Rattus norvegicus: one gene and its partners. The protein of the gene in region 1 binds, or shares a complex with, the protein of each later gene. Links are inferred from orthologs where the notes say so. Each region holds a gene or a part of one and is shown on either strand. Other genes may lie near its edges.

Region 1 (10,257 bases):
TTCCTCATCTATAAAATATGGTTAGTAACACCCACCCAGAATTATTTTGTAAAAAATTGGATTAAATAACACACGGGAAATTATATCTAAAATTTAATAATTAGTAGTTCTGATGAAATTTCCGCTGCTAGTGTTGCTTATGTAGTCACCTACTGAACCTCACTCCCCAGTCCCCAGCCATTGCATTCACCTGAATATTCCCCGAAATACTGCTATCACGGGTACTTATTGCTGTAATGAAATACCTGACAGGAATCAATTTAAGGGTCTATTTTGGCTCTCACAATAAAAGGCAAACAGTCTGTCTTAGTGGTAGAGGACTAAAAAAGGTGGGAGCACATCTCAGCAGAGCAGGGAGCACAGATCATTGGGAATCTGGATGCAAAAGCTTAAGGCCCACTGCCCTAGTGACCTACTTGCTCCATCGAGGCTCAATCTCTTATGCTCCTACATTACCACACTACCATCTCCTGGAATCGCATCACTAGATGCGGACCAGGCACTCAGTGTGAGCCTTCAGTGGACAGTTCACAGCCATCCTGTCTTTGCTACAGACTTACTAAGTCCACACTGCTTCCCATTTGGTGCTCAGCAACTCTTTGCTCTCCCGAATGGCCCTCGTCATAGGTCTTATGCTTTATATTTCTTTACCTCTGAACATACCATACATCTTTCACTGGCTCCTAAATAAATGATGGACAGGGCTTATGTGTCTTTATGCACTGGATCCAAGTAACATGGTGTCATGAAGATCCTAGATCCTCAGTAACGATTTATAGGCTGGGTGGTATTAGTAGATCTGGTTTTGTTGTTGCTTTTGCTTTTAGTTCTGAAACAAATACCTAAAACAGTTTGAAAAGAAGAAATGATTTATTTTGCCTCGTGTTTTCGGGAATTTCAGTCTATGGTTCATGGTTCCATTTTCTTTGGACCTGAAGTGAGGAAGAGCATGATGGTGAGATACATAGACGAGAAGGCCTCTTACTTCATGGTGGCCAGGAAGCAAGGAGAGCAGCCGGAAGGAACCTAGGATGGGCAACAGGAAGAAAACTGGGAAGGAATAACAGGACAAAACCAGGAAGCAGCAACAGGCAGGACCCCAGGAAGCAACAGGCAGGAACTTTGAAAGCCTGTCTTCAGTGACTACCTCCATCAACCCGTCCCCATTCCCTAACACTTATGTCTCTGTCCAGTAAAAACGTTTTGAAATTTGTCATTGGATAAGTCCACTGGCCATTATGATCCAGTCACATCTCCAAAACTACATCTATGAACACTTATCCTGGGGGAGTACTTCAATACAGAAGCTTTGGGTGAAAACTGTCACTCCATAGCTAACCTGTAAAAAAAACATCAATACTGAGACTGACTCCTTTTTAAACACATTACTTCTTTTATCTTTGGAGATTGTAACTACCCCTTTCCCCTCTTCTCTATGTTTCCTCTTTATAACATAATAGAATAGCAAAACATTTTAATATCATTGGTCACATATGCAAGTATATTGCTATATGGTAATTAAGATTTGATGGCTGTCTAGAACAATGTGACTTGGCCAACCTGGCCTAGTTTGGCATACATGTCACTCCACCCATCATTTTTACTGTGGCTAATCCAACATAGGTAAGCCCTAGGAAGAGCAAATGCTACTCTTGGCTGTGACTTCTGGTTCCTAGGAAAGAATCTCAACCAGGAGTTAGTAGAGCCAGGGTTGGGTGTCACATCAGCAGCAAATGATACACAGGCTAAGAGGTTTCTCAGGGGAGTTGCCACAGGTTACAATGGAATGACAATTACAAGGTAGATGGCTCATGTCATGCCTGCTGTGACCTTTACAATACATGGGGATCATTATTTTAATGTTAATTTGCATAATGGTCCACCTAGTAGGAACAATGCTGAATGCTAATAGCTGCAGGATGCAATAAAATTAAACATTATCTGGGCTGAACTGCTAAAGGAAAAGTTGCCAAAGTATGACTCTTTAAGTACTTAATTTCATCCCAGGTCATGTCCACACAACAAATGAGGATTTCCGGTATCTCTTGAAAAACTGGCAAGAACTAGCTAGAATAGAATAACACCAGCTTCCTTTATGCGGAACCCTAGCGAATAGACTGTGTTTTGACACGATTTGTCTGGACCTTCTACAAAAATTAGAATTGTTATTCTCACCATATCTTGCCCCAATACTGCCTTGCCCCACTCAGACCCTTTACGCACTTGTTGACAGATACACTAAAAATGACAAACAGAGATACTCTCAACTTCTGAACTGACAGATACCAAGAAAAACTTTTTAATTGGTAAGATCAAGCAAGTCCTCAGAGAAGACAGCTACTATCCCCTCGAACTATTAAGTAACCAACCACACATTCTTAGTTGTGGGTGGAAGGATAGAGAGTAAAGAAGCATAGAGAGTAAAAAAGCAACGCCTTTGTATTTGTTTCTTCTCTACGATTTCTATTTCATGAAGAACGGACTGACCATGACCGTCTATTTTGTATTCCAAAGAACAGAGAATTCTTTCAAACTGGATCCACTTCTGGGTCCCATGCGTTTACGCTCATTTCCACCACAAGAGGGCAGCCATCTCTAAAAAACAACAGTTGTGCTCTTCAGAGAAATTGGGCCAAACTTCAGGAAAGTTCCTGGGAAAGGCTTTTAACTGCCTGCACCTCCCCTCTCCCGTTGCATGTCCTACAAAAAAGAAGCCGCCAGGCACCACCAAGGTGGAGTAACTGTCCGGAGGCATCCATTTTATCTCAGAGTCTTGATTACTAAGGATATCATAAATGGCCAAACTCCCGCTTCTGGAGTTCCAAAGGCCCAAAGCTACACGGCATTGTTGATGTCATCCCCAAAGGTTTCATTTTCATCTTTTCTTGGGGTGGGTCCAACAGCTGTCAACTTTCTCTTCCTCATTAAAGGCAACTTTCTGATTTAAATCTCATATATGTTTGGAGGTTTTGCTTTGCTCCACAAGTCTTCCCGATGACAGAAGCAATTGTTAACTTCTCAATTAAACTTGATAGGGAAGGAAATGGCTTCAGAAGCGATCAGCACTTTTGGCTTACATGTCTGAGTGGAGTGTTTTATTGCCTTCTTGTTTGGTCTCTCACGATTTAGAGTGACAATTTCTACAACACATCTTAAGAAGGAATACAGTAACTGATTGCAGATTGCTGAATCTATTCCTTCTCCTTTAATTTTCCTAGTAGGCAGCCTTCCTTCAAAGTACCTTATTTGCCCTTTACAGCTCTAGAAACAGCCAGGGCCTAATTTCCCTCTGTGGGTTGCTAATCTGATTTAGGTGAGCAGAACCTAGAGTTATTTTAGCTTCCCAACTGAAAAGCTAATACACACGGATAATAGATTATTAAAGCCCCTCCTTCTGGTTTTTCTCTGTCTTTGCTTTGCAAACTTGAAAGATCTGATTCAGAACCTGGTATTACCAATCTGGTCTTCCACAGAAATGTTCTGCCCATAGCTTTGGGGGTCATGTGGGCAACAAGGTGGTAGTATGTATGAAGGCTCCTGAAATGAGGGAGAAGTGGAAAGAGTTCAAAACGAATCCTGGATCAGCAGCTTTGGGGACATTCCAGCTGAGGAAGAAAAGTGGCTTAGCCACAGTCAGAGTCTTGCTTCTGGAGACCTAGTGGAGAGGGCCAGACAGAAAATTCAAAAGTCTCAAACCAGAAATGTCTTGTTACCTGCCTCTGGTGTAGGTGGGTGGGGGAGGGGAGATAAATAGCCCAAGTATGGAAGTGATTGTTTCTATAAAGAGAACTTCTATTAACTCCCATTGTCCCCTCACATGGACAGACAGACAGACACACACACACACACACACACACACAAACACTAGAGGGGACATCCACTTTACATGTGTATATCTATGTACAGAACCTGTACCCTCATTTTTATAATTTACATAAATGAATACATATATGTATATACATCTTTTATTAGATTCATTTATTTGACTATATATGCACATGGGCGCATATAAATGTATGAATATTTATAAAATGTAATAATACACTCGAATGTGTATTGGCTATTTCTTGACATTTTCTTCTCACCATTCAAAACAGAGAAGCGTTTGCTCACATCTTTGCCAACATGTCTGATAACTTCTAGGTTCTTCTTTTTAATGTGATCTTACCTAAAAACTTCAAACTCAAGTTGAATATTGGCCCAGTGGGGGAACTCAGAGGCAAGCCTACCCTGAATTTGCCCTAAACTCGGGCATCTGGGGCACGAATCCTGGTCCCGGGGGTCTGCTTTACACTCAGCCGGGACGCGACCCCTTAGCGGCCGCGCGCTCGCCCCGCCCCGCCCCGCCGCGGCCGCCCCTCAGGGCGCGCCGTCCACACCCCTGCGCGCTGCTCCCGCCCGCCCGGGGATCCCCAGCGCGCTGCGCCTCCGAGGGGGAGGTGTTCGGCCACGGCCGGGAGGGAGCCGGCAGGCGGCGTCTCCTTTAAAAGCCGCGAGCGCCGCGCCACGGCGCCTCCGTCGTCGCCGCCGGAGTCCTCGCCCTGCCGCGCAGAGCCCGGCTCGCACTGCGCCCGCCGCTGCGCTTCCCACAGCCCGCCCGGGATTGGCAGCTCGGGACGAAGCCTCCCTAGCCCACACCGGCCATCGGACGCCCTCAGGGCGAGCGACGCGAGGGTCACCCGGGGCTTCGAGGGGCCGGCACGACACCGGTTGGAGCTGCGAACTGTGCGCGCCCGGCTCTGTGGCCTCAGCTGTCCGGGAGAAGCCAGAGTCGCGGACCGACGCTAAGAGCCGGGAGTCCGGAGCACAGTCTTACCCTCAACGCTGGGCTACTCCGACACGAGAGTGAGCGCCCGAGGCGAGCAGGAAGAGTGATCGGACCCCAGGCTGCCACAAAAGACACTTGGCCCGAGGGCTCGGAGCGTGAGGTCACCCGGTTTGGCAGCCGGGGACGCGCGGCTGGACTGTCTCGAGAATGAGCCCCAGGACGCCGGGACGCCGCAGCCGTGCGGGTTCCGCTGGCGAGCGCTGATGGGGGTGCGCCAGAGTCAGGCTGAGGGATGCGGAGTGGCGGCCCGCCCGCCACCCAGATCTTCGCTGCGCCCTTGCCGGGACCCGGCGTCGCCCACGATGGCTGCCCCGAGCCATGGGTCGCGGCCCAGCTAACGCAGAACGTCCGACCCTCGCCCGGCGAGTCCCGGAGCCGGCCCCGCGCCCCGCCAGCGCTGGTCCCTGAGGAAGACGACAGCAGCAGCCTTGCCTCAGCCTTCCCTCCCCGTCCCTGCCCCGCACTCCTCCCCCTGCTTGAGGCTGTGTGTCAGCACTTGGCTGGAGACTTCTTGAACTTGTCGGGAGAGTGACTTGGGCTCCCCACTTCGCGCCGGTGTCCTCGCCCGGCGGATCCAGTCTTGCCGCCGCCTCCAGCCCGGTCACCTCTCTGTTCCTTGGCCGGCTGGGCCCACCCCAAGACACGGTTCCCTTCGGGGAGAACACCCGGAGAAGGAGGAGGTGAAGAAAGGCAACAGAAGCCCAGTCGCTGCTCCAGGTCCCTCGGACAGAGCTTTTTCCATGTGGAGACTCTCTCAATGGACGTGCCCCCTAGTGCTTCTTAGACGGACTGCGGTCTCCTAAAGGTAGAGGACACGGGCCCGGACCCAGGGCTGGCGGGTGACACCGCTTCCCGCCCGGCGGCGCTGGGCGCCTCGGAGGACCGGTGGAGTGGACGTAAACATACCCTCTCCCGGTGCACGTGCAGCGAGCGGATCCCTAGAGGGGTCAGGCACTCTGAACCCCAGATCCCTCTGTCTTGCCCACCTGGTCTGCGACCTCCTTTCAGCCCGTTCCTCCTCCCCAGTTTTAAATACATTATCAGGGCTGTTTTGGGCTTTACCCCCTCCTCCGCCCCCAAATTGCAGAAATCCATTTAGAGAGTATGGCCGGTGGATTTCACTAGTTCATTGCCCACCAGCACTCCAAGCCTTAGAGATCCTTCGCTATCCTTAAGAACTAGGTCCCATTTAGGAAGCTACTAAAAGTCGGGGTTCTTTTTGTGTGTGTTTACTGACTGTGCGGATGTGTCACAGCTTACACGTGCATTTATAGACACTATCTATTTAGGTCATTGCAGAAAGGTGCATGGATTTCTTGACTGCACAGGGGTCTGGAGAAGGGGACAGAGTGGCCTGTGGGTCAACCTTGAAGTTAGGGGCGTAGGCCACGACTTGCAAGTGGCGTCATTAGTATTAATCTTTAGTTTACCGCTTTCTGAATCTACAATCTACCAGGAAGTTCTATACGGCGCCTCTAAGGAAGTCACTTGTGCATTTGTGTCTGTTTATGTGCAAATGAACGCTGTGCAGTATAGTTGTAAGGGATGCAGTGTCCGAACAATCTATGGGTTCCCAGCTTCCTGACACAGGCTTTACTAGCTAGTGTCACAAGAAAAGGTGACAGACAGTCATTGATTTTTCTTTTTTAAATTGGGAGTTAAGACCAAGCCCCAAGTGAGAAGTCCGGCTGGGACTTAGGGGTTCTTCATCCTCTTGATCATCCAGGCTGTAGCTTGGATGACATGCCAGGAGGGCATCCTGGAGAAGGCCAGCGAGCCCTGTGGGAGCCGGGGCCGCGGGGGCGGGCGGAGGACTGGGCGGGGAACGTGGGTGACTCACGTCGGCCCTGTCCGCAGGTCGACCATGGTGGCCGGGACCCGCTGTCTTCTAGTGTTGCTGCTTCCCCAGGTCCTCCTGGGCGGCGCGGCCGGCCTCATTCCGGAGCTGGGCCGCAAGAAGTTCGCCGGGGCATCCGGCCGCCCCTTGTCCCGGCCTTCGGACGACGTCCTCAGCGAGTTTGAGTTGAGGCTGCTCAGCATGTTTGGCCTGAAGCAGAGACCCACCCCCAGCAAGGACGTCGTGGTGCCCCCCTATATGCTCGACCTGTACCGCCGGCACTCGGGCCAGCCAGGAGCGCCCGCCCCAGACCACCGGCTGGAGAGGGCAGCCAGCCGCGCCAACACCGTGCGCAGCTTCCATCACGAAGGTGAGCGGGCGGCGGGTGGCGGGGCGGGGACAGCGGGCGGAGACTCAGTGGGCAGCCCGGGCCTCCGCTAGCACAGTGGACGGTCCTTCGGCTTCTGTACCGTCCCCTCTGTGGCCCCGAGCCAGGGATTCCCCACTGGTGAGTCCGCACCCTTTTCCTGGCAGGTGGCCAGCAGACAGACTCCTCCCCACTAGAACTGGAGGGAAATCGAGTGATGGGGAAGAGGGTGAGAGACTGGCTAGCCCCTTGTCAGCTCATTGTGGGAGAATTTCACAGAAGGCAGGGAGTTGGGGCTCCTTAAATCTGTGTGGAAGCTCAGATCTGTGGCTTGTGTTCAGGCTGGAGTTTTAAGCTAGGCAGAGGTAGTATTAACAAATCAAATCCAGGGCCCCAAAGCATTCAAATTTGCTGTTCATCTGGGCCTCGTTTGAAAGATTTTTGAATCCCTATCTAATCCCCGTGGGAGATCAATTCCACAATCCATCATACTGTTTCCCCAATGACCTTCCTTTCTCCTGCTTAACTCTTAAGTCTCCAAGTGGAGACAGGTCAAGCCTTCAGATAAAAGCATTTTCTCCCACTGCCTGCTACCTTCCTAGACAAGGTAATGGAATTTTTAAAAAAATACGATATGAGTATGGTTTCCCAAGGTAGAGTAATGTTTATTTCTTCGGAAGGAGATTTAGTGGGTAAGACATGCTGTAGAGGCCTATTGAAGTCTCTTGTGCCAATGTCCTTATAGCAGTTAGTAAAAATAATAATAATAATAATAATAATAATAATAATAATAATAATAATAATCGTGCCTCAGTTCAATTCCGTGTGTGTCACTTTAAATGTGCTTTTGGTTTAATGCAATCTCAATAGGATATCAGTTCCTTCAAGTTCTAGAAGAATTCAGAGTTGTCTGTCAGTGAGCTGCAATTTATAGAACAATGGGGAGCTAGGAGAGAAGTTCCCTTTTTAAAGCTTCGCTTTGCCTTTCTTGAGAGGATACATTTTAAGTAGAAATCTATGCTCTGAAATGGCAGCCCAACCCCCATCCCCAATAAGGGATGACTCAAACTTTGAGAAGTCTGGTTGATAATAGGAAAAAGAGCCACCGGCAGGTCACATAGCAAGGGGTGTATCTTCCTTGAGGCAGCCAATGGTTATGAAGGGCACTAGAAACTGGTGTCTAAGGTTTTCTGGGGACAACGTTCAGTATTGAAAGATAGTGAGACCTTATTCTGCTCCTTAGGGTCTGCTTGCTGAGAGAGGGAGATTCCAGAATGTACACCCCCAGCCCCCGTCCCCAGGGCTAAGCTAATCTTTCTGGGTTAATATTTATTGGAAAATGTTTTGTAGATCAAAACAAACAAACAAAACCACTAGCCAGCACAGCTGTTTTTCCCACTGCCTTTGGAGATAGAGCAGGAAAACAATTTATTCGTGTATTTGTTTATTTATTAGTATTTTCTAATGTGAAAAAAATTATTCTTTACCTGTAAAAAAAAATGAACGAGTTATTTTATCTTTATCTTAACTAAGCTAAAAGCATCATTTAAGTCAACTAAAACTCAAAAATCCAATTGAATGTAAGGTTTGTCAATAAAATCTACATATTCTCAGTCTTCATTTGGAAGTGGCTTGATAAAAACACAGGCAAAACGCTATCTAGGTGTCTTATTTTAAAACTTAGTGAGCTTCCGTTCACAAGAAAAATTGTATTTTTAAAAGTGGTTTTTCTGGTGTAAAACTGTATAGAAGTTATCGACCTGCTTAAAATAAACTTGCACTGACTTTATATCTTGGTGCAATCAGATGTGATTTTTACCATAAATCTCAGAAACCATTTCTTTTCAGTCATCATCAGGTATACACGGCATATGGGAAGACTGTTCACATTGTTAAGTAGCCTAGAGTTTAGTTTTTCTAAGCATCCTTGTGCCACTGAAAAACCTTAATAAGCCATGTGTTACTTGGTAGGCTTCTTCGTAAATGCTAGAATGGCATGAGACAAGACATACCATGGTAGTCTTTCAGTAGATTCTTCCAGACAAAATCTCCTGTTGAACATTAAGAGCATTTTACCATAGATTTTATCCAGGAGAGTCCAGACTTTGCTGAATTCCCACCCCAAGGTCACTGAAGACCTTCCCGAACTGGCTGCCATTGGAAAACAGTTGGAAATTGCTTGACTCCATTGGCCCCATAGAGACTTCCCCTTTAGTGGCAGATCATATACAGAAGGATCTCATGCTGGTTCTTCTGACTATGGAGAACATAGTCTTTCTTTTTTCTTTTTGTAACTAACAAACGATGTGGCCCTGTGACTAAAGTTTTCAAAGAGGGAGAGAAAATAGCCGCAGGCTAGGACATTTCAAGGCACAACTCTGTCTTGTGATGAAGAAAGCATGGTCCATCCACCATGCCAGCATGGGTTTGAATGCAGACACCCAGGAAGGCTCCCATCTACTTCTGGCTGTGTTAGTGTGCTCACAAAGACCCTGTGGGGAAAACAGTTCCTCAGTGTGCAGTGTTCCTTGCCACTGATGTTCTCAGTGTCTCTTGTTTGTCAGCGGATGCTTTGAATACCTCTTGACTCCTCTCCAAGCTGCTTTTGTCCTCTTTACATGTACCTTGGGACATTTCTCTTGGTCGTTAGAGAATCCCTCCTGGACCTACAAGGTCCCCTTATAGGGCCTGTGATGAGGAGAACAGAGACCTAGTCAGGTTGCTGGTGACTACTAGACCCTGTTTCCCTTTCCCACCACTTCCTTTGTTGACTTAAAAATTAAACCTTAATTCTGTGTGTTTTAAGCCTTTTCTTCCTTCCTCTTTGGCATGCCATTTATCTTATTCCGGAAAAAATCACAGTCTGTCCCAAAGCTCCTTGAATCTTGTTGCAGCGGTGAGATGCAGCTGCTGGTCTGGAATAGCCTTAGGCCTGTTGTTGTTTTGATGGAGGAATGTTTTCTGTCCAAAAAGTGTTGCAAAATCCCCCAAGCTTAATGATAACTTTTGAAATGAAACTCACCCTACTCTAGGGCAAGCAAGAGCCACAGAGAGCAGGATCTAAACAAGGCCTGGTGTCCCATTTGGCTGCATCTCTTCAGTTTTTCTGTTCCTTTAGCTCTGTCTGCATCTAAAGGGTGCTGAGCAGTATGTTTGGTGTCTTCCAGGCAAAACTCATTCTGCAGTTTCCATGGTGTCGGGTGCCAATTCCTAGTGATTTGGACT
Region 2 (10,157 bases), on another chromosome or scaffold:
GGCACCTCAGATAGACAGGAACGATAACACCCTTATGCTCGCACACGTCCAGAGGACCACCCCTGTCACCTCCTTCATAGTTACACACAGTAGGAAACCCTGGAGGATAGTTGGAGGGACGTTCTTTTGAGGGCGCTGACGAACAGCTATAGAAAACGAGGAGGAAATAGAGGGGAGGGTGTCTGTTGCCCTAGTGGGGGCGCGGAGTGCGAACACCGCACGCGTCGGCCACTGCCGGTCCGGGTGACAACTGGCAGAGTCCGCAGCCGGACCGGGATGTGCGGGGTGGGTAAAGGCAGCGCTGCGGGCCTGAAGGGCGGCGCAGAGGGCGGCGCTGGCGGCGTGAAAGGCGCCTTTGTGCAAGCAAGGGTGTAGGAGCCGGGAAGAGGAGAGATCGGGACCTGGAAGCAGGGGTAGAAGCGTCCCACACTCCCTGCCGTCGGGTCTCCAGCCGGACAGTAGGGCAGTGAGGTGGAGTGGGGACCGGCGCGGCGGAGGTTGTCTGCCGCTGCGGCTGGGGGCAGGAGTGGGAAAGAGGCAGTTTGGAGGAAGTTGGGGAGAGGGACCTGTCTCCCCGCCCTCTCCCCCTAGGTGACAGAGAGGCCCTGCTGGCTGGCAGGGTGCGAGCACTGCCCCGGAGCTCACTCCGGAACCGGCATCTGGAGAGCGGCCCCCGGGTGGAGCCGCCCGCCTGCCGCCCACCTGGGGCAGAGTGGCGGGCGCGGCGTGGCCTCCCTCCAGCGCCCCGGCCGCGTGGCTTGCGGCTTATTTTCCCAGCTGGCAAGCGTCGCGCTGCAGACAAGGGAATGCCTGTGGTGAGTTGTTTATTTTGTTGAAGTTTGCGGTGGGCCCGGAGGACGTGGGGGGCGAATGGCAGGCAGCGGCGGGGATTGTTTTGTTTAGGTCTTGGGTCCACCTGTGTGGTATAAATCTGCCAGGCTCCGGGCTGTGGGGTCCAGGGTGAGAAAGCCCTGGCGTTCCAAAAGCTCCTGGCCATGTTTAATTCGCAATGCCTGGAACCGACTAGAGTCTAAGGAAGGCTACCCCGCACCCAGCTTTCCATGGATGCTTCCCAAGGGACCATCGTTGCCCATGACCTGGGAATAGCTGGCCAGTGAAGTTTTCCCATTCCTCGGGGGTAATGGAGCTGAAGCTTTAATGTGAAAGGAACCCAAGAAAAGAGAGAAAAACTTATCCTCCGGGGCTAGGGGGTGGGTTGGTGTGAAGTTCGGTCAGGGATGTTGGGTTGGCCTGCTTCTACAAACTGGGATCCTGTGTTGGCCAATTTCCCAAAGTAGACTGGTGAAAGGCTGGCAGCTGGCTCCTGAGGGAGCCCATAGGAACCCCTGGGGCTGATGTTAGTACAGCCTCGGCTTCGTTTGCCTGGAAGAAAAGCCTAAATACATTAGTGAGAGGGTAAAGCTTTTAAGGCCTTCTTGGGAGTGAGTGGCTGGCTAATGAGAGGTTAATTTTGTTTCGAAGGGAAGGCTGTGCTGGTTTCCTGAGATAAATGGACAGGAAGCACATTACCTCCAAGCACTGGCAAGCGGCTCCCAAATGCTTTTTGCACCTGCCGCTTCTAGTCCTGAGAGCCAGAAGCGAGCCCTACTGGAATCTGTTAGGGATCAAGGGGCCCGGGATGTAAGCGCGTGATCTCCGTGGTCTCTCTCTTTCTCCAGGGACTCAGCGCTCATACGGAGCCCTGGGGCTCTTCTCTCACACCTAGGTCCTGCGTGTTCCGGAGCTCGGGGGCATCCTGATCCCGCTGAGCCCCCTCCAGGTGCAGAAGGGTTAAGAATGATGTAAGTACAAGCCAGGAGCTACATGCTGCTGGACTCTGGGCTATTCCGGGCCCCCTATTTTCAAACACTGTGGAGCAATGAGCAGCAGGGGAGCCCTTACTCAGGAATGGGTTACACAAATCGCTCATTGCTGGCTTCTCTGTCCTGGGTGAGCTGTTAAGCAGAGACCCTCTTGTTAGGTTTTTGGGTATGGAGATTCAGTACCTGGGGAACAGTTAAGACACAGTTAAGGATTTGGGAAATGAAATTGCATCATGTTTAGAATCCATTAACGTTACTGGCATCCGTTTTAATTACCCATTCGCATGCCCATGGTGTAGGATACTTTGCTGGGTCTCTTAGATGTACTGTTCTGGTCTCTTCGAAAACAAAGAGGAAGAGAGAAAGAATGCAGATGGCAAGACACGAGGTGGATTTTTGGGTTGCTCAAGTTGCCAATCACCTCACTTTTTTTTTCCTAATTAAAAATGTAAAACTTATAATCATCAAATTTGTTCTAGCTTCCTCCCTGGGTTTTTCTTTGTCCAGTCCCAAATTCTGCTTAACCATGCTGCACAGGAAGAGTGGCTGCCCTCTAAAAACCATTCAACATGCTCTTGATTTCCAAGCTGACTTCAAATCTTGCTAACATCCAGATTCACCCCAGACTGTGTCAACAGACCCAATGTCAGGAAAATAAGAACCACCTTGTACTTTAATTGTTAAAAAGAAAAAGCATTTTCCTCCAGCAGCTGAACACTTACGCAGTAATAAAAAGTGAATTGTTAGGCATACATGTCTTAAGCTTGTCAAATTTTACAACAGAGGAGCAATAAAACACCTTAGAGATGAATTTTTTTTCCTCTGAACAGTTTTTTTTTTCCTTGACACCAGGATTCGAAGCAACTCGAGGGTGCCCTCTACTGATAAGAATATCTGGAGCCCCTTGTATTTAAAAAAAAAAAAAAAAAAGCAAAGTCATCAGCAGAAAGATTCTAAATTGAATGTATTGATCTTTAACCTTTTGTTTATATGAAACATGATAATAACATAAGGTTCCTTTCGGAATATAATTAAATATTGAGGTAAGAAAACCCTACATTTTTCTGTGAGCCAGCTATCTAAAAGCACTTAAAATCTTTATGTGTAAGAACATTTTGCCTGCATGTATGTCTGTGCACCATGTGCCCCTTTGGTGCCTGTGAAGGTGAAGGGGATTCAGATCCCCTGGAACTGGAGTTACAGACTATTGTGAGCTGCCAGTGCACACTGAGAAGTGAACCTCGGGTCTTTTGTACAAGCCACTCAACCATCTCTCCAGCTCTAAGCTAAAAGGACTTCTAAGAAGAGTGTCATGCGATCACTCTTTAAAAGAAATATTTTCTGAACTGTATTTCATGGATTATATGTAGTAACTGCAAAATGGTTTTTAAAAAAAAAAGTCCTGATAGCATTTAGTATACACCATTATGTAAAACTGTCAGATCCAGCCCTCCCCCCATCAAAAGTCATTTCTCCAGGCAACTGTGAAGCTATTATTAAGCATATTAAAGATAGACATAAGGCTTGGATTATATCTTGGGTAGTGAAAGGTGTGTTTACCACTTGAATCATCATGGCCTGTAATAAGTAATGAAAAATTACAGTAAAAACAGATAGGTCTCCTTCATTAGGGACCTGGTGGTTTGAGGAATTCACAATGTGTCTAATAAGTAAGATGGTGAGACCTAAGGCTTGCCCCCCAATTATCCTTGTCCATTGATTAGCACACTGTAACATGTGGACTATTAATGTGTCTGTGGTTGATAGGAGATTCCTAATTAGAGATTCTGAGTAATGTAGCAGGTAAAGTTGCAAACTGTAATTTAGATTGCACTAAGTGCATTTTAAATGCCAGTCCTCAACAGTTTGGAGAATGGCAGAGGCAGGGGGAAAGTAAAGTGGCTTCTTAGGAGCACTGACGCCACTCTCCGAAGGAGATAGATACCACTTCACACTAACTGATAACAAATTGGAGCCTATCGTCAACTCCGCACGTGCTTTCTTTTGTCTCCATATATTAGCCCTTCTCCTTAGAGATAATTTGAGGGGGATTGCCCTAGGTTTTGGAGGACAACTCAAGTAGAAACAGACCTAACATTGGATTAATTTAATAGACTGGAAATTTGTGGAAAAGCCACCGAGCAACAAGAAATCGTGGCATAATTGCACTGCATAAAAACTCACCACTCTCATTAATCTAATTACCTTGTAACCGAACACGTTGAAGTTCGCCCAATCCCTGACTCCCGCTCTCCGCTTTGAAGCTGGGAAAATGTCAAAGAAACCAAAACACCAGAGCCTCACGCAGCTGCCAGCGAATTCCGCTGGGAGCTCGCAGGTACCTTCTCAGTCCATCCATCTGCTACGGACCTCGGTGTCATCTGAGTATCTAACAAGGCTTGGCTGGACTCTTGATTTGCCAAGAGACCCCCCAACAAGTTTGCTATGAGGTCCAGCAGTCGATTGGCTGAGTCGGGTGGGGGGTGGGGGTGGGGGGACCTGCTACACTGAGCTTGGGAAAGCGCTGGCTTCCTGCAAGTGGCTGCAGCTAGCAATAGGACAAGGGGTTGGAGAGGGTCATTAAAAACAACGAACAAAAAACTAGGAGGAAGCTGAACCTGAAGCTCATTAATTCAAGGAAAGGTTAAAGGCCGGTTCTCCTGGAACGCGGGCCAAGTGAGAGTCGCTGTCGCCCATTTCTATTGGGTACCAGAAAACAGTGATCGCGGAAAGGGGTGGAGGAGAAAAGCACAAGGAAGCCGGCAGGAGGGAGGCTGGGCCCTGGCGAAGCTGCCCCACCCGCGGGCGGCGGACACGGAACTTGAGTGAGATGCGAGGGCGGGAGGCACGTTCGCAGCCAATGGGGAGTGGAGAAGGCGGGTGATCGGAGGCGGGGCCTCCGCGGATTGGTGAGAGCCCGGAGGGGCGGGGCGAAAGTGCGGGGCTGAGATTGATTGACCGCGCAGGCCGCGGTGCGGAGCTCTCCGGGCCGCTGCCTGCTACGGTTGGTGAGGTTTTCTCGATCCACGCACGTCCAGCCTTCGCCAGCTGGGTCTCAGCCACCCTTGAGCTCCGGGCTGCTGTCGGCGCTCGCTCACGGTCTTTGTATCTTTTTCTCCCGCCTCTTTCTGCCTGCCGCGTCCGGCCGTCTCGATGTCTCTGCGCCCTATTGCCGCCTCCCTCCACTCGCGACGCCCTGCTCATCGCGGCGGTGGCGGCCGGTCTCGAACGCTGGCCTGAAAGGAGGAAGAGGAAGAAGAGAGGCGTGCGCCCTGGCCCATGCCGCAGCCCGAGGCCCGGCCCAGCCACTGCGCCCGCGCCGCCGCCCTCGCAGGAGCGCACGAGACCTGCATGGACGGGCATGGGCGTGAGAGCAGCACCTTCCTGCGCCGCCGCCCCCGCCGCCGCCGGGGCTGAGCAGTACCACCGCCCCGGACTCTGGCCGCCGTCGCCCCCGCCGCCGCTGTTGCTGCTGCTGCTGCTCAGCCTTGGACTGCTCCACGCAGGTAGGCGCGGGCCGGGTGGGGAGCGGGCCGCGCGGGCTTTGTTCTGGGTGCGGAACGCCACGGCCCTGGCGGGCGAGCAGGGCACTCACGGTCGCAGGTTCACGCTCCTGTCTGCCGCCTCTTGCCTTCGCCGGCGACAGCCGGTGGTCCGGTCCCAGCGTGCGGGCTGGAACCGCGTGCGGGACAGACACCCCGGGGCTTTATTGCCCTCTGCAGGGGTGTTTACTGGAGCCAGCTGCTGATCGGGTTTCCACCGCCCTGGTCGCCTGCGAGCGGAGACTCTGTGCTGTTCCTCCTCTACATCTGGGGGTGGCGGCGAGGCCCGGAGTCGCACACGGTGTAAAGATTTTCACCCGAGTTTGGGGGATGAATTCCAAAGAAACTTAAGTTAACCGGGATCTCTTTCGGTTTTGCCAGTGCTGCTTTGGACGCAGTTTGGCGAATCGAGGACGTGCTTTGAAAGCCTTGGGTTTTCGGCTCCTAGCGGGCTTGACAGATGCGCCCTGCAGTGTGGAGGTTCGCACAGCCCCTGCCCATGCAGCACTAGGAATATGCCCTAAGGATATACCTGAACCTGACCCTCGTGACGTGTGATGCCTAATTTTGTTGTCTTTACAAGGAAGTGCCATATCTTTTTAATACTTGGCCTAGACTGTGCATTTCCCTTTAATACAAAAATTAAAAGGATCATTGTTTTACATAGATTTCCTTGGAAGCCCTTTCCCCCTTTGTTCAGCTGACACAACACTAATCTGGAGAATTCTAGTTTAATAACACTCAACTGTACTGAAAACTTTTTACTTGATAAGATATACGAACCGTCCTAAAATAACTGGGAGGCCTTTTAAGTAATGGAATAAAATGACATCGAAGAGACAAGTCTTCGAGGTGTTATAACAGCTGCATTGTAACACTGTCACTTGTGGAAATGGACGGGGTCATGCTAAAATGTAATAGCCAGTTGTGGAATAATTAAATTTGGCTTTAAGTTAGTAATTTAAATAGAACCTTAGAAAAATATCTGCATGCGGTTTCATGGAAACTTTTTGTTAATGTTCCAGTATTCAGGAGCGTTGGGGTGAGAAAAATGTATGATTTATGTCAAACGGTGCGTTTCATGAAAGGGACGCTGAAAGGCTAGGTTGAGCTCTTGGCAGCTTGGATATTGGTTGCTGTGGGGTCCTGACAGGGTTGGAGAGTAGTTCCTGAGGAGTTGCTTGCTGCCCTGTCAAAGGCATGAGAAACTGGACGAAAGGCTTTGGAACACGAGGTTGGTTTCAGTAACTCAGTCTGTGCTCACATTGAGATTGAACCCAAGGCCCTCATTACTGTGAACAACTTGTTGAAGTCGAGCTGCTTTTCAGAGATCTCTTTGAAGAGTGGCTCTATTGAAATGCTGGGGTCCTTTTCCAGACCAGGGAACCGAGGAAGTGCTGCTTGCAGATGGACCACCATATGTTTTCCGTCTGAGTCATATCGCTTGCCTCTGTGCCCCATATGGCTCCATAGCTCCCTCAATTCAGCCTCAACAGATCTCATTTCCTTTACGATAACCTGGCAATTGTGCTGTAGTCACAGTCCCCGTGTGAAGGAAGCTGTCTTGCCTATGTTCATTAAAAAATAATGAATCGAAATCTCTAGACCACGAATCCTTTTAGCACTTCCAGTAACTGGCCGAAAGCACAAGTCACACCAACTGTAGATGGCCTGCTGACACCAAAATAGAAAATTCTTCTTTGTAAGTGCATCGTTTGGATTCTGCCCTTGGGAAACGGCCTGTTTATTTTTCACATGTATTTTATGATTTTATTTTAAGAAGACCTTTGCAGTTCAGGAGTGAATATCACATACCGGCCTTCTTGCTTACTCATACACTCCATGGCCTCCTTGGCCACATCCTGGAGAGTGTTTCTGCCCTGCATTATCTTGGCATTCTGACAGGGGGCTTACATTACCGCCTCTAACAGGCAAAGTGTGCATTGTCATTATAAATTCATGAAGCTTGGATATTTCTGGGTGTATGCTACAAATTAGTCATTATACCGGAGCCTGTGATGGAGCTGAAAATGCTGACCTCAAAGCATTTTCTCTTCAGTTAGCCCTCCACCCTGATCCTCTCCACAGCCGAGGGTAGGCCCCTCATCCAAAGCAAAAGAGCTGTTGTTTTGTGTGTGATTTCTCAAAGCAGTCAGCACCTACCCACCATGAAAAAGGGAAAGCTTAGGAATGGGGGTTGGGTACAATAGAACACTGGGAATGAACGCTGCATCTTCTCCCCCCCCCCCCAAACTCTGGGATTCTGTATCTCCACGCTGTCCTCACTTTTGATATTTTATGACTATTCGAAATAATTATAAGTAACTGTATGCTCAGATAGATTTTATAGACCATAAAAAGAACAAATAGGCCCCACGAGTTTAGCGGAAAGTTCTAGTGCTGTCATTATTTGAGGTCCAAGAGCTGTTCGTTAGGGAGCGATCTTGGCCCTGCTTTTACTTATTTTGCACTTGCTCTGTATCGTACTTTAAAAGGAGGGGTATCATTGTCCCCCAACTGCTTTCTCAGCTATCGGTGACTGACACTAGTTAGTCTCGAACAATCCCAAGTCCAGAGCAAGACCTTGGATACTCCTTTCCCTCGATAAACAACTTGAAGGCTTTTGGAATAGTGAATTGGTTTGACTGTTTTGGTCCTCGCTTTGTTGTCCAGTAAAAGTAGTTGAAAGTAAATGCATTTGTTTTCAAGAAAGGAGTCCTGTAAATCAAACTCCCTTTGTCAGCACTGCACTGAACAAGCCTTGAATGGACCAAACACATGGCAATGACTCTTTTGTTTTGTTTTGTTTTGTTTTTAAAGTGGTCTAGTGATTGCTATAAATCCATTAACTCCAAAATAGTAAAACAATTTTAATCTCCTTTATTCTGGTAAAAAATGAAAATGAAGGCTCAACTGGGTCTTTGAAATTTCACAATGACAGATTGCTACCCTCACACTTCCCTCCAACCAAAGACAAAAATAGTTTACCATTTAATTAAAATTTAAAAACACTGAGGCACCTTTCTAAACAATATAGAGGTTACTAAATGATGTCCTTCATCAGGTGACATTTTAAGTACTGATATCCTGAAATATATTGTATCCACATATTGTAATAATTACATACTTAAAAAGTAACCCACCCACTTCTGTCAAACATGGTGGCATACACCTGTAGTCCAACATTCTGGAAGCTGATACAGAAGGATCGAAAGTTCAAGGTCAGCCTGGGCTGCAATGCAAGGAGACCTGCCTTGTCTCAAAACAAAAGCAAAACCAGGCTCTGCAGAGATGGCTTATCAGTTAAGAGGGTTGGCTGCTCTTCCAGAGGATCCCAACGTGGTTCCCAGCACCCACACAGTGGCTCAGCCATCTGTAAGTCCAGTTCCAGGAAATCCAATACCATCATCTATATGGCCTCCAAGGGCACCAGGCATGCATGTGATGCACAGACATACGTGCAAGCAAAACACTCATATACCTACCAAACATACCACAAAACTAGCCAAAACCAGTGGATCATCCAGTGATGTCAAACCCTCACCACCACCAGTACAAAAGGTGAGACACTTTATGCCAAGAAAAGACCATGAGGCTGTTACAACAGCTGACACATTCTTCAGAAGAGGATGCTGCTAAGATGGGAAGAAATTAAGCTTTTCATAAGTTAAACAGTTAAACACCTACTAGGAATTTTAAGTAACAAATATATGTTACAGTTCATTTTATACAATTTGAAATAGAGGGCCAGTGTTTCTCTTCAGTAAACCTTTTCTCAGTTTTGAAACAATGTATAATTGATTGGTACACATGACTAACCTAGTTTTTTGTTTTGTCTTTTCCTCTTGTGCTCAGAAACATTTCATGAATTGTTATATAAGAGACAAGTGACAGATAATTTGGAATTTCTTAATACAGGACTTTTTATACTTGGGTTTTCATTTTAACTTTTTCTCTAAACTGTTAATTAATTGAATTAAAAGGGAAAGGAGTTGTGTATGATCACACAAACACGTACACAGTCACACACATACAAATTCTTGGCTCGATAGTTCTCTGATCCCATTTTGAAAAACAATTTTGATGTTGCATACTTTTTTAACTGTCTTTTGCCTACGGTTCGCTTGACGTGTTAAGCTTGCGGTATGACAGACATGTGAAGAGAAGTAAAATCGGATCTTGGTCAAGTGAATCACTTTCTTAGCAGAGTACTTAGGTTTGATAGACACTAAGGCGTGGTGACTGGATGTGGTGATGCAACTTATTAGTAATACATCAGGAAAAGTAAAACAACTTACTACTTGAATTTTTTTTTCCTTTGATTTTCTTACCCTGTAGCCATACAAAGCCAGGTAAAGATACTTTAAACAAACTATAATTTAGAGTTTTAGCCTTTCTTCGGTGTGTGTAGGCTTTAATCATAGCTATGTGCATAGTGTATCCCCCCCCCCCCCCCCCGCTGCTTTCCAGAGCAAATTACTCATAGGACTTTAAAACTCAAAACAGCCCATATCTTTGGCTTTGCTTTGGAGCAGAACAATCTTTGTCAAAATAGCAAACAAGAAACAATATTTCATTGGCAATTTTAACCTGGAGGCATTTCTAGACTAGACTCTTGTTCAGTTACCAAAGCTCAAGCTTGTTTGCGAAGGTGTCTTAAAGTGGGAGTATATGAGGTAGAACAGAGAGTTCCTAGGGAGAAAAGCATCTTCTCTCCTGCTGCCCAGGAACTGATGACACAGTTGCATGCTTGATCCTGCCTTCTTTCCCATAGGTGATTGCCAACAGCCTG
Region 3 (10,257 bases), on another chromosome or scaffold:
TGTGGTTTGTTGTTTAAGACAGGGTTTCTCAGTATAGTCTTGGCTGTTCTGGAACTCAGAGATCCATCTACCTCTGTCTCTGGAGGGGTGGAATTAAGTTAGCAGTGTGCGGTGTGCACCACCACAGCCGACTAGGATTGAAGTGTTTTATTGTTTGCTTTTTGTTTGTAACAGGGTTTTTCCTCTGAAGCCCAGGCTGACCTTGAACTTCTGACCCTCTTGTCTCTTGCTGATCATCACGTTATATACCACCGTGAACCCAGCTTTCATTGGTTTTTTTGGAAGGCAAAGTAGCCTTGTATACCTAACTACAATTAGAAGAACATATTTTTTTTTCTCTTTAGCGATGAATTATTTTTTGCCTAGATACATTAACTCACTAGGAGTTATAAAATGCCAGCATTATGATTGTCATGTTTCCTTTATTTATTTTTGAGATATGGTCTCAAAATAATATTTTAACAGTAAATACTTAGATTTGCCGAAATCTGTTTCTGTGTCTAGTGTCCTAGTAGCCTAGGCCTGCGTGGACCTCTCCAGCCTCCCAAGTATGGGACCTCTCCATGCAGTGCAATATCTTCATTTATTTACTGAATATTTCTAGAATTTTCCCATCATTTTAGGATAGTTTTCATAAAGAAGTCAGAATAAAGCTAGGAATGGTGGCTCACACCTGGAACTCAAGCGTGTGGGAGGTGGAGGCAGGGGGATCATCCTAGGCTACATTTTGGATTGGAAGCTCTATTAGGGTCTCTAGAGTCACAGAACTGATGGGTGTCTCTATAGTAAGGGAATTTGTTATGATAACTTACAGTCTGTAGTCCAACTCCCTAACAATGGCAGCTTCGAATGGAAGTCCAAGGATCTAGTAGTTGCCCAGTCCCGCAAGGCAGGCAGGTGAAGAAGAGTGAATCTTCCTTCTTCCAGTGTCCTTATGTAGGTCTCCAGCAGAAGGTGTGGCCCAGATTAAAGGTGTGGACCACCAAGCCTGGATCTGGGGCTTGCTTTGTCCCAGATGACCTTGACCTCAGAGATCTCTTTGCCTTAGTCTCCTGGGATTCATAGCCACTTTGCCTCAAGATCTCCATGCCAAGATCCAGGTCAAAAACTTGTGTCTCCCAGCCTCAAGATCAGGATCACAGGTGAGCCTTCCAATTGTAGTTCATTCCAGATATAGTCACGTTGACTACTGGGAATGGCCATTGCAGAAGCTAACCTTTGAAACTTTGTCTTCGAAGATGCAGAAAACAAAGGGGGCTGGTGAGATGGTTGGGTGGGCATAGTGCCACTAGGCCTGACAACCTTTGTTGAATCCCCTGGACCCACACAGTGGAAGGAGAACCAGGTCCTGCAAATTGTCCTGTGACTTCCACACCTATGCTGTGACACACACACCTACTCCCTCCACCCACAAGTACATAAATAAAAGGAAGGAAAATTTTAAAACAAATCAAAAACAGTTAACTATTTGGTTTTTTCCATTTGCCAGCGGTTCTCAAAACGGACGTGCTTTCTCCAATAATAGCCAGTCACGTTTAACTTTTAAGTATAATTGTGAACTTAGGCTTAAAATGTTTGGTGTGTCAATCCAATATATTCAGTTTCTATTTTGATAACTAATTTGTCCTGTCTTTGGCAAGGGGCAACTATTTTCTTTTAGTTTGCTTGCTTGGTTTGAGACAGGACCTCACTCACTATGTAGCCTTGGCTAGCCTGGAACTCCTTATGTAGGCCAGGTTAGCCTGAAACTCATGGAGGTCCATCTTTCTCTGCCTCCTAAGTGCTGAGAATAAATGCCCAGCCTGATACAGCATTTTAAAGCTTCCTTGTTTATTTTGGATAATTCCTGGCTCCAAATGGGAATAAGTTATTTTTCTGGTTTCTTGGAGTGGGAAATCATACTCGTGTTCCACAACCTGGACACTAGGAGTGTTCGCTAACACGTGCTCCCTGCTTTTAGGTATTTTCATAATAAATTAGGAACACTTAAAGGCAAAATGTAATGAACACACAGTCATCTTTGCATTTAAATTTATTTTTTTTAATGTGTAAGGGTGTTTGTTTTACCTGCATGTATGTCTCTGTGCATCTTCATGCAATGCCCAAGGAGACCAGAAGGGGGCTCCAGGTCCCTTGGAGTGGTTTAGAATTACAGAGTTTTTACTTAACTTCATCAACATGAGTCAGCATTTCTATCCCACATCAAAGATCATGGTTCTCAAAAAACCCAGTATTAGCCACCTGTAATTATAGCACTCAGGAAGTTGAGGCAGGAGGATTGCAAGTTTCAGGCCAGCCTAGGCTATATGGTGAGACTTTGTTTCAAACCAAACCAAACCAAACCAAAAACCCACCATTATTACTTAACTTAAAAACAAGATTTTTTTTTTGAATGTGTATCTGTGTGTGGGTTGAGTGGTTCCCAAAGAGACCAGAAGAGAGCACTGACTCCCCTGGAGCCCCCTCATGTGGATGCTAGAAACCAAACTCAAGTCCTGTACTGACTGGTTTTGTGTGTCAACTTGACACAAGCTGGAGTTATCACAGAGAAAGGAGCCTCAGTTGAGGAAATGCCTCCATGCGACCCAGCTGTAAGGCATTTTCTCAATTAGTGATCAAGGGAATGGCCCAGCCCATTGTGGGTGGTGCAGTTCCCGGGTTGGTGGTCTTGGGTTCTACAAGAGAGCAAGCTCAGCAAGCCAGGGGAAGCAAGCCAGTAAGAAACATCCCTCCATGGCCTCTGCATCAGCTCCTGCTTCCTGACCTGCTTGAGTTCCAGTCCTGACTTCCTTTGGTGATGAACAGCAATGTGGAAGTGTAAGCTGAATAAACCCCTTCCTCCCCAACTTGCTTCTTGGTCCTGATGTTTGTGCAGGAATAGAAACCCTGACTAAGACAGGTCCCTTATAAAACCAATACATGCTCTCAACTGTGACTTTATCCCTCCAGCCTTCGCTAATTTTTTTAAAGCCCACAACATACTCACAATAGTTCCAGGATAATACCAACACCACTGTCAATGATAATGAGGACTGTAAAATACTGTGTACTAGTTGGGCACAGTGGCCCCTGCATGTCACCTGTCACCATCAGGACAACTGTCTCAATCATAACGAGTTCTAGACCAGTTGGGACTACACATACAACACCCTGTTTCAAAACAACAACTTCCTTAAAAATACTTATTTTTTAAAAATTTTATGTGCATGTGTGTATGCCTGAGTGTATGTATGTATGTGCAACACATGTGTGCAGAGGCCATCAGAGGTCAGCTGAGGGCATTGGGGCCCCTGGAGTGGAGTTACAGTTAGAAATGAGCTGCCATGTGGGTTATGGAACCGGAATCCTCTGTCAGAGCAGCACGTGCTTTAACCACTAAACTATCCCTCCAGCCTCAAGAAATTATTTTTTTCGCACATATTTTTGGTTTCAGAGTATATGCCACTTTGTATATTATAGACAACTTAGTATGTCTTAAAGTCACTTGATTAGTTTAGCTGGGGGAATTTTACGGAATAAAAGTTCTTGGGATGTGGCTGGTGAAATGGCTGAGCAGGTAGAGGCACTCACTAGCTACCAATTGTGACATTTGGTCCCTAGCACCCACATGGTGGGAGGAGAGAGCGGACTCTGTAAAATTTTTGACATCCACAGTGGTACACACAGACACACAGAGAGACAGACATACTCTAAGTAACTTAATATAAAAGAATATTATTGTAATATGGTCATGTATAGTTCAGAAAAAACTAAATTCATATAAAAAAAAAACCCTGCATGTTCCCACTCTTCTCTTTTGTGGACTGTGTGTGTGCATGTGTGCGTGCACGAGAGTGTGTGTGTGTGTTTGTGTGTGTGTGTGTGTGTGTGTGTGTGTGTGTGTGTGTGTGAGGACCATGTGGACCTGTAGGCTGTGAGCTGGATGTCGAGCTGACAGGGCTGGAAGCTTTGGTGACACACTTTGTAATCGGTCCTATGCTGCTTTCCCTTGTCCCAGAAGTGCCGCCAGGTGAAAAGACGGGACATGGCTAAATCCTTGGTTATAATAGAGTCTTGAACAGTCTTTCTATGAAAGCATAGTCCCGAATCTCTTCTTTCCCCATTCACCTATCTGGCCCCACTTCTCTGTGGATCGGTCATCTTCAAAACCAGTTCAGCTTCCCACTGCCCCCACCACCCCCGAAACCCGGAAGCTTCTGTTTTTTGTGTTTGTATTGACGAGGAGGAGGGATTGTTGCACACACTAGCGTAATGGAAAAGGTGGAGATAGAATAGACAGCTGCAGAGATCTGATCCGGACAGACAGAATAAACCCTCCTCCGAAACAATTCTGCTCTCGGGTTTCTTCTCCAGACAGCTGGCCTTTCGGCTTCTGAAATAGTTGGCGGAGATGGGGGAGGGTCTCTGAACTACGCCTGCCATCCATCTTCAAAGCCAGCTACCTCTACGTACCATGTGTGGAAACTCAGTGGCATCCTCAGTAAAGAGAGGATGAGAACGGTGAGTGACAGGCGTCACACAAATCACCACCAGCCGTCTTACAGGCCGGGAGCTCATTACTGAGAACGCTAAAGGACCTGAGTGGCAGGTCATACAAGCTGCAGTTGGACATGGGACTTGGCCATCGTTCTCTCTTTAGGCAGTCCCTCACTTGGTACCCAGCATTCCCATATTCCCTCTTTATTTTGCTCATCATTCCTGCTGCCTTAGCTCCCACACCCTACTGCCACCAACGTTCCTGGAATTTTGGACCTAGCTATTTTTAAAACTGTCAACTCAGGAGGCACCTCCCTCCTCCTCTCAGCTGTCCAGTGCTTGGGCCAACCATATACTCTCCCTGCCCCCTCCCCCCACACCAAAGCTCCTCTGGCTCTCTGACCTCGGTGAGATTGCAGCCAGTCCGGGGGATCGGGGACAGACATGGAGAAGGAGATGGAGGACCCCCTGGCTGGAGCAGACCAACAGAATAGGCAACTATGGCTGGAGAACCGGGTATCAGAGTAATGCTTGACCTCGGGAAACAGTAAGTCTAGATGAAATGGCGGTTGCTTTGATAAGCTTTTGGGTCGAGGCTAGAATTTCATAAAGTTACAGACATCTGTTCTGAAAACTAAGATCTCTCCTTACCAGATACCCCAATCTTCACTTTTGGACCGCCTGCTCATACACTTATTCCAAAGAAGGGTTTTGACAGGAGAAAGGGAGACAGACCCCTCCCAATATCTGTTCCCCTCAAAAGACCAGGAGCATCTGGATTGTGTTTTTCAGTTGGGTCTGGAAAAACAGACGAACCGTTGACTAGGCAGAAGCAAATATTAATTTGAAAGCTTGATTTGTACCCCATCCTGTGAGAGCGGGATCACGTCAGCCCTCTGGAGAGGCTGAGAGATCGCCTGGCTCCCTTTTCACTGGGAAGATGCCATCCTAGACGGGCATCTGCCTACCATGCTACCCTTTGTGCCCTTCTATCACAGTGAAGAAAACAAAATGGTGGGTGGCTTCTGGATGGGAGGGACGAATAAGAAGTGCGGTCTTAAGCATGATCAGGTCCCAGCATTACTGGGACCCACTGGTCTAATTAGGACCCACTTTCCCCAGGGAGCTTCCATTTTTTGACCCATCTGCTATTTCAGGATGGGGCAATAAAGTGGACTCTGTCCACTGAGGTCACTCAACCTTCCCTCCACCACCACCACCCCGCCCCCGTAGGCATATTGCACAAGGGATCCTAAGGTGGCCACAGGAGCAGGGCACAAAGGCTCACCAGCCACACTCACCGCTCACCGGCTGGAAGCCTCCTTCTTTCCAAGATCCAGTCTGCTTACTTTTTGTCTTCATCTCCTCAGATTCTCTACCCACCATCTTGACTAATCTTCAACCCTTCTCTTTCCCCACACGCAGCCAAATTTCTTCTTCCGATCGCAGAAGTAGTACTCGGCGAAATTCACTAGGTAGGAGGCTCCTCATCTGGGAAGAACCGGTGCCTGGGGGGACCTGGCTGGATAGGTATGGGGGATCGAGGCCGGTCCCCTAGTCTCCGGTCCCCCCATGGCAGTCCTCCAACTCTAAGCACCCTCACTCTCCTGCTGCTCCTCTGTGGACAGGGTAAGGAAGGGCCAGGGGCGGGTTGGGCATGTCTAGAGGTTAGGTAGGAGTGAGCACAGAGGGATGGGTGCTATGTCCCAGTCACCTGCCAACTCTGAAAGAGGCCTGTCTTGTTTCCCATTTAACTTGAGGAAGGACACAGATGGCGTCCCCAGGGAAAAGAAGTCTGACTGCTTTACATGTTTTTAGTAGAGGAGAGGAAGGAAGGAGGCGAGAAATAGGAGAATAAGGAGGCTGAAGGTTGGGGTTGGGAAAGTGCCCACGCTGAGTGGGAGGAACGGTGGGATGGCGGATGCCTTTTGGCAGTTAGGCGAGTACTGGACTTGGATAGAACCTGAGTCTCACTTCACTGTCCTCTCCCTTCCATCCCCAGCTCACTCCCAGTGCAAGATCCTCCGCTGCAATGCCGAGTACGTCTCGTCCACTCTGAGCCTTCGGGGAGGGGGCTCACCGGACACGCCACATGGAGGCGGCCGTGGTGGGCCGGCCTCAGGTGGCTTGTGTCGCGCCCTGCGCTCCTACGCTCTCTGCACGCGGCGCACCGCCCGCACCTGCCGCGGGGACCTCGCTTTCCACTCCGCGGTGCATGGCATAGAGGACCTGATGATCCAGCACAACTGCTCACGCCAGGGTCCCACGGCCTCGCCCCCGGCCCGGGGTCCTGCCCTGCCCGGGGCCGGCCCAGCGCCCCTGACCCCAGATCCCTGTGACTATGAAGCCCGGTTTTCCAGGCTGCACGGTCGAACCCCGGGTTTCTTGCATTGTGCTTCCTTTGGAGACCCCCATGTGCGCAGCTTCCACAATCACTTTCACACATGCCGCGTCCAAGGAGCTTGGCCCCTACTAGATAACGACTTCCTCTTTGTCCAAGCCACCAGCTCCCCGGTAGCATCGGGAGCCAACGCTACCACCATCCGGAAGGTCAGAGATTCAATTTCCAACCTACCTTCTTGAGTCTTCTCAAGCTCCATCCGCCATACCACTCCTTTTTCCCACTAGTCCTCAGCCACCCAGCTCCCTGTTCCTTGTCTTTCCCAAACATTCCCTTCCATCTTGAATGGCTTCCTTCCATCAAACGTTTGCTCTTGTAAATGTGATTCCTCTTGATGGGAATTTCATTCAAATGCAGGTAACACTAAAGAGGAGGCTGAGAACTGGGACTGGCAGAGCTGGGGCAGAGAGAGAGAGCGAGAGAGCGCGCGCACTTCATTTCTTTTGGAAGTTGCTGAGATATATAGATAGAGACAGACAGACACAGAGACAGATTGAGATTAGGAGGTTGAGCAGGGGTCAGGACACAATAGGATCAAGGACCGAGGACCAGGAAGAATCTCTGCATCTCTGCTGGGATCAGATCCCTGACTCTCTGTGCAGCTTGATTGGTGTGCGGATGCTTTGAGCCCTAATTAACTAATTTTCTCTCTTGTCCTCAGATCACTATCATATTTAAAAACATGCAGGAATGCATTGACCAGAAAGTCTACCAGGCTGAGGTAGACAATCTTCCTGCAGCCTTTGAAGATGGTTCTGTCAATGGGGGCGACCGACCTGGGGGCTCGAGTTTGTCCATTCAAACTGCTAACCTTGGGAGCCACGTGGAGATTCGAGCTGCCTACATTGGAACAACTATAATCGTTCGTCAGACAGCTGGACAGCTCTCCTTCTCCATCAGGGTAGCGGAGGATGTGGCACGGGCCTTCTCTGCTGAGCAGGATCTACAGCTGTGTGTTGGGGGATGCCCTCCGAGCCAGCGACTCTCTCGCTCAGAGCGCAATCGCCGTGGGGCGATAGCCATAGATACTGCCAGAAGGTTGTGTAAGGAAGGGCTTCCGGTTGAAGATGCCTACTTCCAATCCTGCGTCTTTGATGTTTCAGTCTCCGGTGACCCCAACTTTACTGTGGCAGCTCAGTCAGCTCTGGACGATGCCCGAGTCTTCTTGACCGATTTGGAGAACTTGCACCTTTTCCCAGTAGATGCGGGGCCTCCCCTCTCTCCAGCCACCTGCCTAGTCCGGCTTCTTTCGGTCCTCTTTGTTCTGTGGTTTTGCATTCAGTAAGTAGGCCAGCAACCCGTGACTAGTTTGGAAACGGTTTGAGGAGAGAGGTTGATGTGAGAAAACACAAAGATGTGCCAAAGGAAACAGTGGGGACAGGAGACAACGACCTTACTCAATCACACGAGGTTGCAGTCCAGGGCTGAAATGACCCTAGAATAAAGATTCTGAGACAGGGTTTTGCACTCCAGACCTTGGTATGGGCTCCCCATGAATTTCCCCATTAGTGATTTCCCACTTGTAGTGAAATTCTACTCTCTGTACACCTGATATCACTCCTGCAAGGCTAGAGATTGTGAGAGCGCTAAGGGCCAGCAAAACATTAAAGGGCTGAGATATCTTAAAGGCAGAAACTAGAAAAGGGGAAACCATGATTATCTATAAGAAAATCAAAAGAGGGGTTTGGGAATTTAGCTCAGTGGTAGAGCACTTGCCTAGCAAGCGCAAGGCCCTGGGTTCGGTCCCCAGCTCCTAAAAAAGAAAAAAAAAATCAAAAGAGAAAAAACTAATTAAGGCAAGCTTTTTGGTTCAGAAATGAAGTGGGCATTGTCTGGCAGAGGAAGTCAGCTTTTGGAGACTGGCACCAACATCTCCACCCTTCCTACTCTGTTATTAAAGTGACGAATTCCCCATCCTGTCCTCTCTTGCCTGTGTTGAATTGCTTTACAGATCTGTGGCATGGAGTAGAGGCTCTGTGTTCACTCCACTGAAAGGCCTGAGAGTTATCAGTTATTGTCTTGTCCCTCTTGGAGTCTACAGGCTGTTGCAGAGAAAAAACACCAGTTCACGGGAAGGAGTCATGAGTGTTATTATTACATTTGATTTTTATTTTCGGTGGAGCCTCATGTGGCCCCAGGTGGCCTTGCATTGCTGGTCCAACTGTGTCTACTCCTCAAGCCCTGGAGTGGAGGTGGGTGGGGGAATGTGTAATTCTTCACTGGATTCTATGGCGTTTGAATTCCTGTGGGAAGATGAGGGTTGAGAACCAGAGTAATGAGAAGTAATAGAAGACACAGAGATGACACTGCAGATGGCAGGATGGGAAGAGTTCAGGGCTTTCTAGGAAGTGAAGACCATCGGGAGTTATCCGCAGTCATGGTTAGTGAGGGAACCAGAGGGACTCTCTATGTAACAAGGAGTTGTGAGACAGATAGGCCGAAGGAATTACACAGCGCCTTGAGGTGGGACTAAGGAGTTCAGATCTCATCACGAACACTTACTTAGTGCTTAAAATCTGCCAGACAGTGTTACCAAAGCTTAAAATATGTAATGTTCTAAACACATTGAAAATGCACGGAGCTGGAGAGATGGCTCAGCAGTTAAGAGCACTGACTGCTCTTCCAGAGTACTCAGGTTCGGTTCCCAGCGCTAACAATGGCCTGCAATTCTAGTTCTAGGGAATCTGACATAGCTTCGGGTCTCCTCTGGCACATACTGCACATAAATTCATGCAGAACACACACACACACAGACACACAGACACACACACACACACACACACACACACACACACACAAGCTTATTTTTAAGATGCTTTGGCTACCTCAAAGGCTAAACCTTCCCCTGGTACCCCAGGCCCAGTTGGGGACTTGGCCCGTGGGCACTTACCCTAAATCTCACATGGTCGGTTGGCTTTATCTTCTGCCACTACCTGCATACCATCGGTCTTCCCTAAGTCATGGTGGTACTCCCTCTCTGTGTCCTCACCAGAACAACTAAGGGTCCTGCCCTGTGTCCAGCCCTCGGCTGTTAGTATCTTTATTGATCGATCAGAAAAACAATTGGGGACAAGAACCTTTAGCATTTGGACACAGAGATTCCCAGTTGAATCACAGCATTAGAACCAATCTCCAACACTGAACACACATACACATAAAATTTTAATATATATTTATATATATTTTTAAATTTAAAAATAATATATGTGTATGCATGCATTAAGAGTTAGCCATAGGGGTTGGGGATTTAACTCAGTGGTAGAGCGCTTGGGCAAGCGCAAGGCCCTGAGTTCGGTCCCCAGCTCCAAAAAAAAGAAAAGAAAAAAAAAAGAGTTAGCCATGTAGCTCAGTGACAGAGCATTGGCCCAGCATATACAGGG

The links.
Region 2: the proteins of Bmp2 (region 1) and Rgmb are in contact, whole or in part, in a crystal structure (PDB 4UI2), measured with the Homo sapiens proteins. The link is inferred for Rattus norvegicus from reciprocal best matches to the Homo sapiens genes BMP2 and RGMB. Residues at the interface, in NP_001191.1 of Homo sapiens: Val308, Gly309, Trp310, Trp313, Met371, Tyr373, Leu374, Asp375, Glu376, Tyr385, Met388; in NP_001353437.1 of Homo sapiens: Lys97, Arg100, Gly101, Leu103, His106, Ser107, Leu110.
Region 3: the proteins of Bmp2 (region 1) and Hjv are in contact, whole or in part, in a crystal structure (PDB 4UI1), measured with the Homo sapiens proteins. The link is inferred for Rattus norvegicus from reciprocal best matches to the Homo sapiens genes BMP2 and HJV. Residues at the interface, in NP_001191.1 of Homo sapiens: Phe331, Pro332, Ala334, Asp335, Leu337, Asn341, Ile344, Val345, Leu348, Ser351, Val352; in NP_001366281.1 of Homo sapiens: Leu40, Asn43, Tyr46, Val47, Tyr86, Leu101, Ala102, Ser105, Ala106, His108, Gly109, Ile110, Asp112, Leu113.

Annotation. Positions count from the first base shown.
Region 1 is NC_086021.1:141,260,135-141,270,391, forward strand, and holds the start of Bmp2 (bone morphogenetic protein 2 precursor), read left to right. Parts: upstream 1-5,389; 5' UTR 5,390-5,633; intron 5,634-6,685; 5' UTR 6,686-6,692; coding exon 6,693-7,035; intron 7,036-10,257. UniProt on the Homo sapiens protein: Growth factor of the TGF-beta superfamily that plays essential roles in many developmental processes, including cardiogenesis, neurogenesis, and osteogenesis. Induces cartilage and bone formation.
Region 2 is NC_086019.1:65,455,676-65,465,832, reverse strand, and holds the start of Rgmb (repulsive guidance molecule B), read left to right. Parts: upstream 1-683; 5' UTR 684-815; intron 816-1,726; 5' UTR 1,727-1,797; coding exon 1,798-1,802; intron 1,803-5,066; coding exon 5,067-5,329; intron 5,330-10,139; coding exon 10,140-10,157. UniProt on the Homo sapiens protein: Member of the repulsive guidance molecule (RGM) family that contributes to the patterning of the developing nervous system. Acts as a bone morphogenetic protein (BMP) coreceptor that potentiates BMP signaling. Promotes neuronal adhesion.
Region 3 is NC_086020.1:186,749,918-186,760,174, forward strand, and holds Hjv (hemojuvelin precursor), read left to right. Parts: upstream 1-4,883; 5' UTR 4,884-5,023; intron 5,024-5,777; exon of another isoform or gene 5,778-5,901; 5' UTR 5,902-6,008; coding exon 6,009-6,105; intron 6,106-6,478; coding exon 6,479-7,026; intron 7,027-7,538; coding exon 7,539-8,162; 3' UTR 8,163-8,791; downstream 8,792-10,257. UniProt on the Homo sapiens protein: Acts as a bone morphogenetic protein (BMP) coreceptor. Through enhancement of BMP signaling regulates hepcidin (HAMP) expression and regulates iron homeostasis.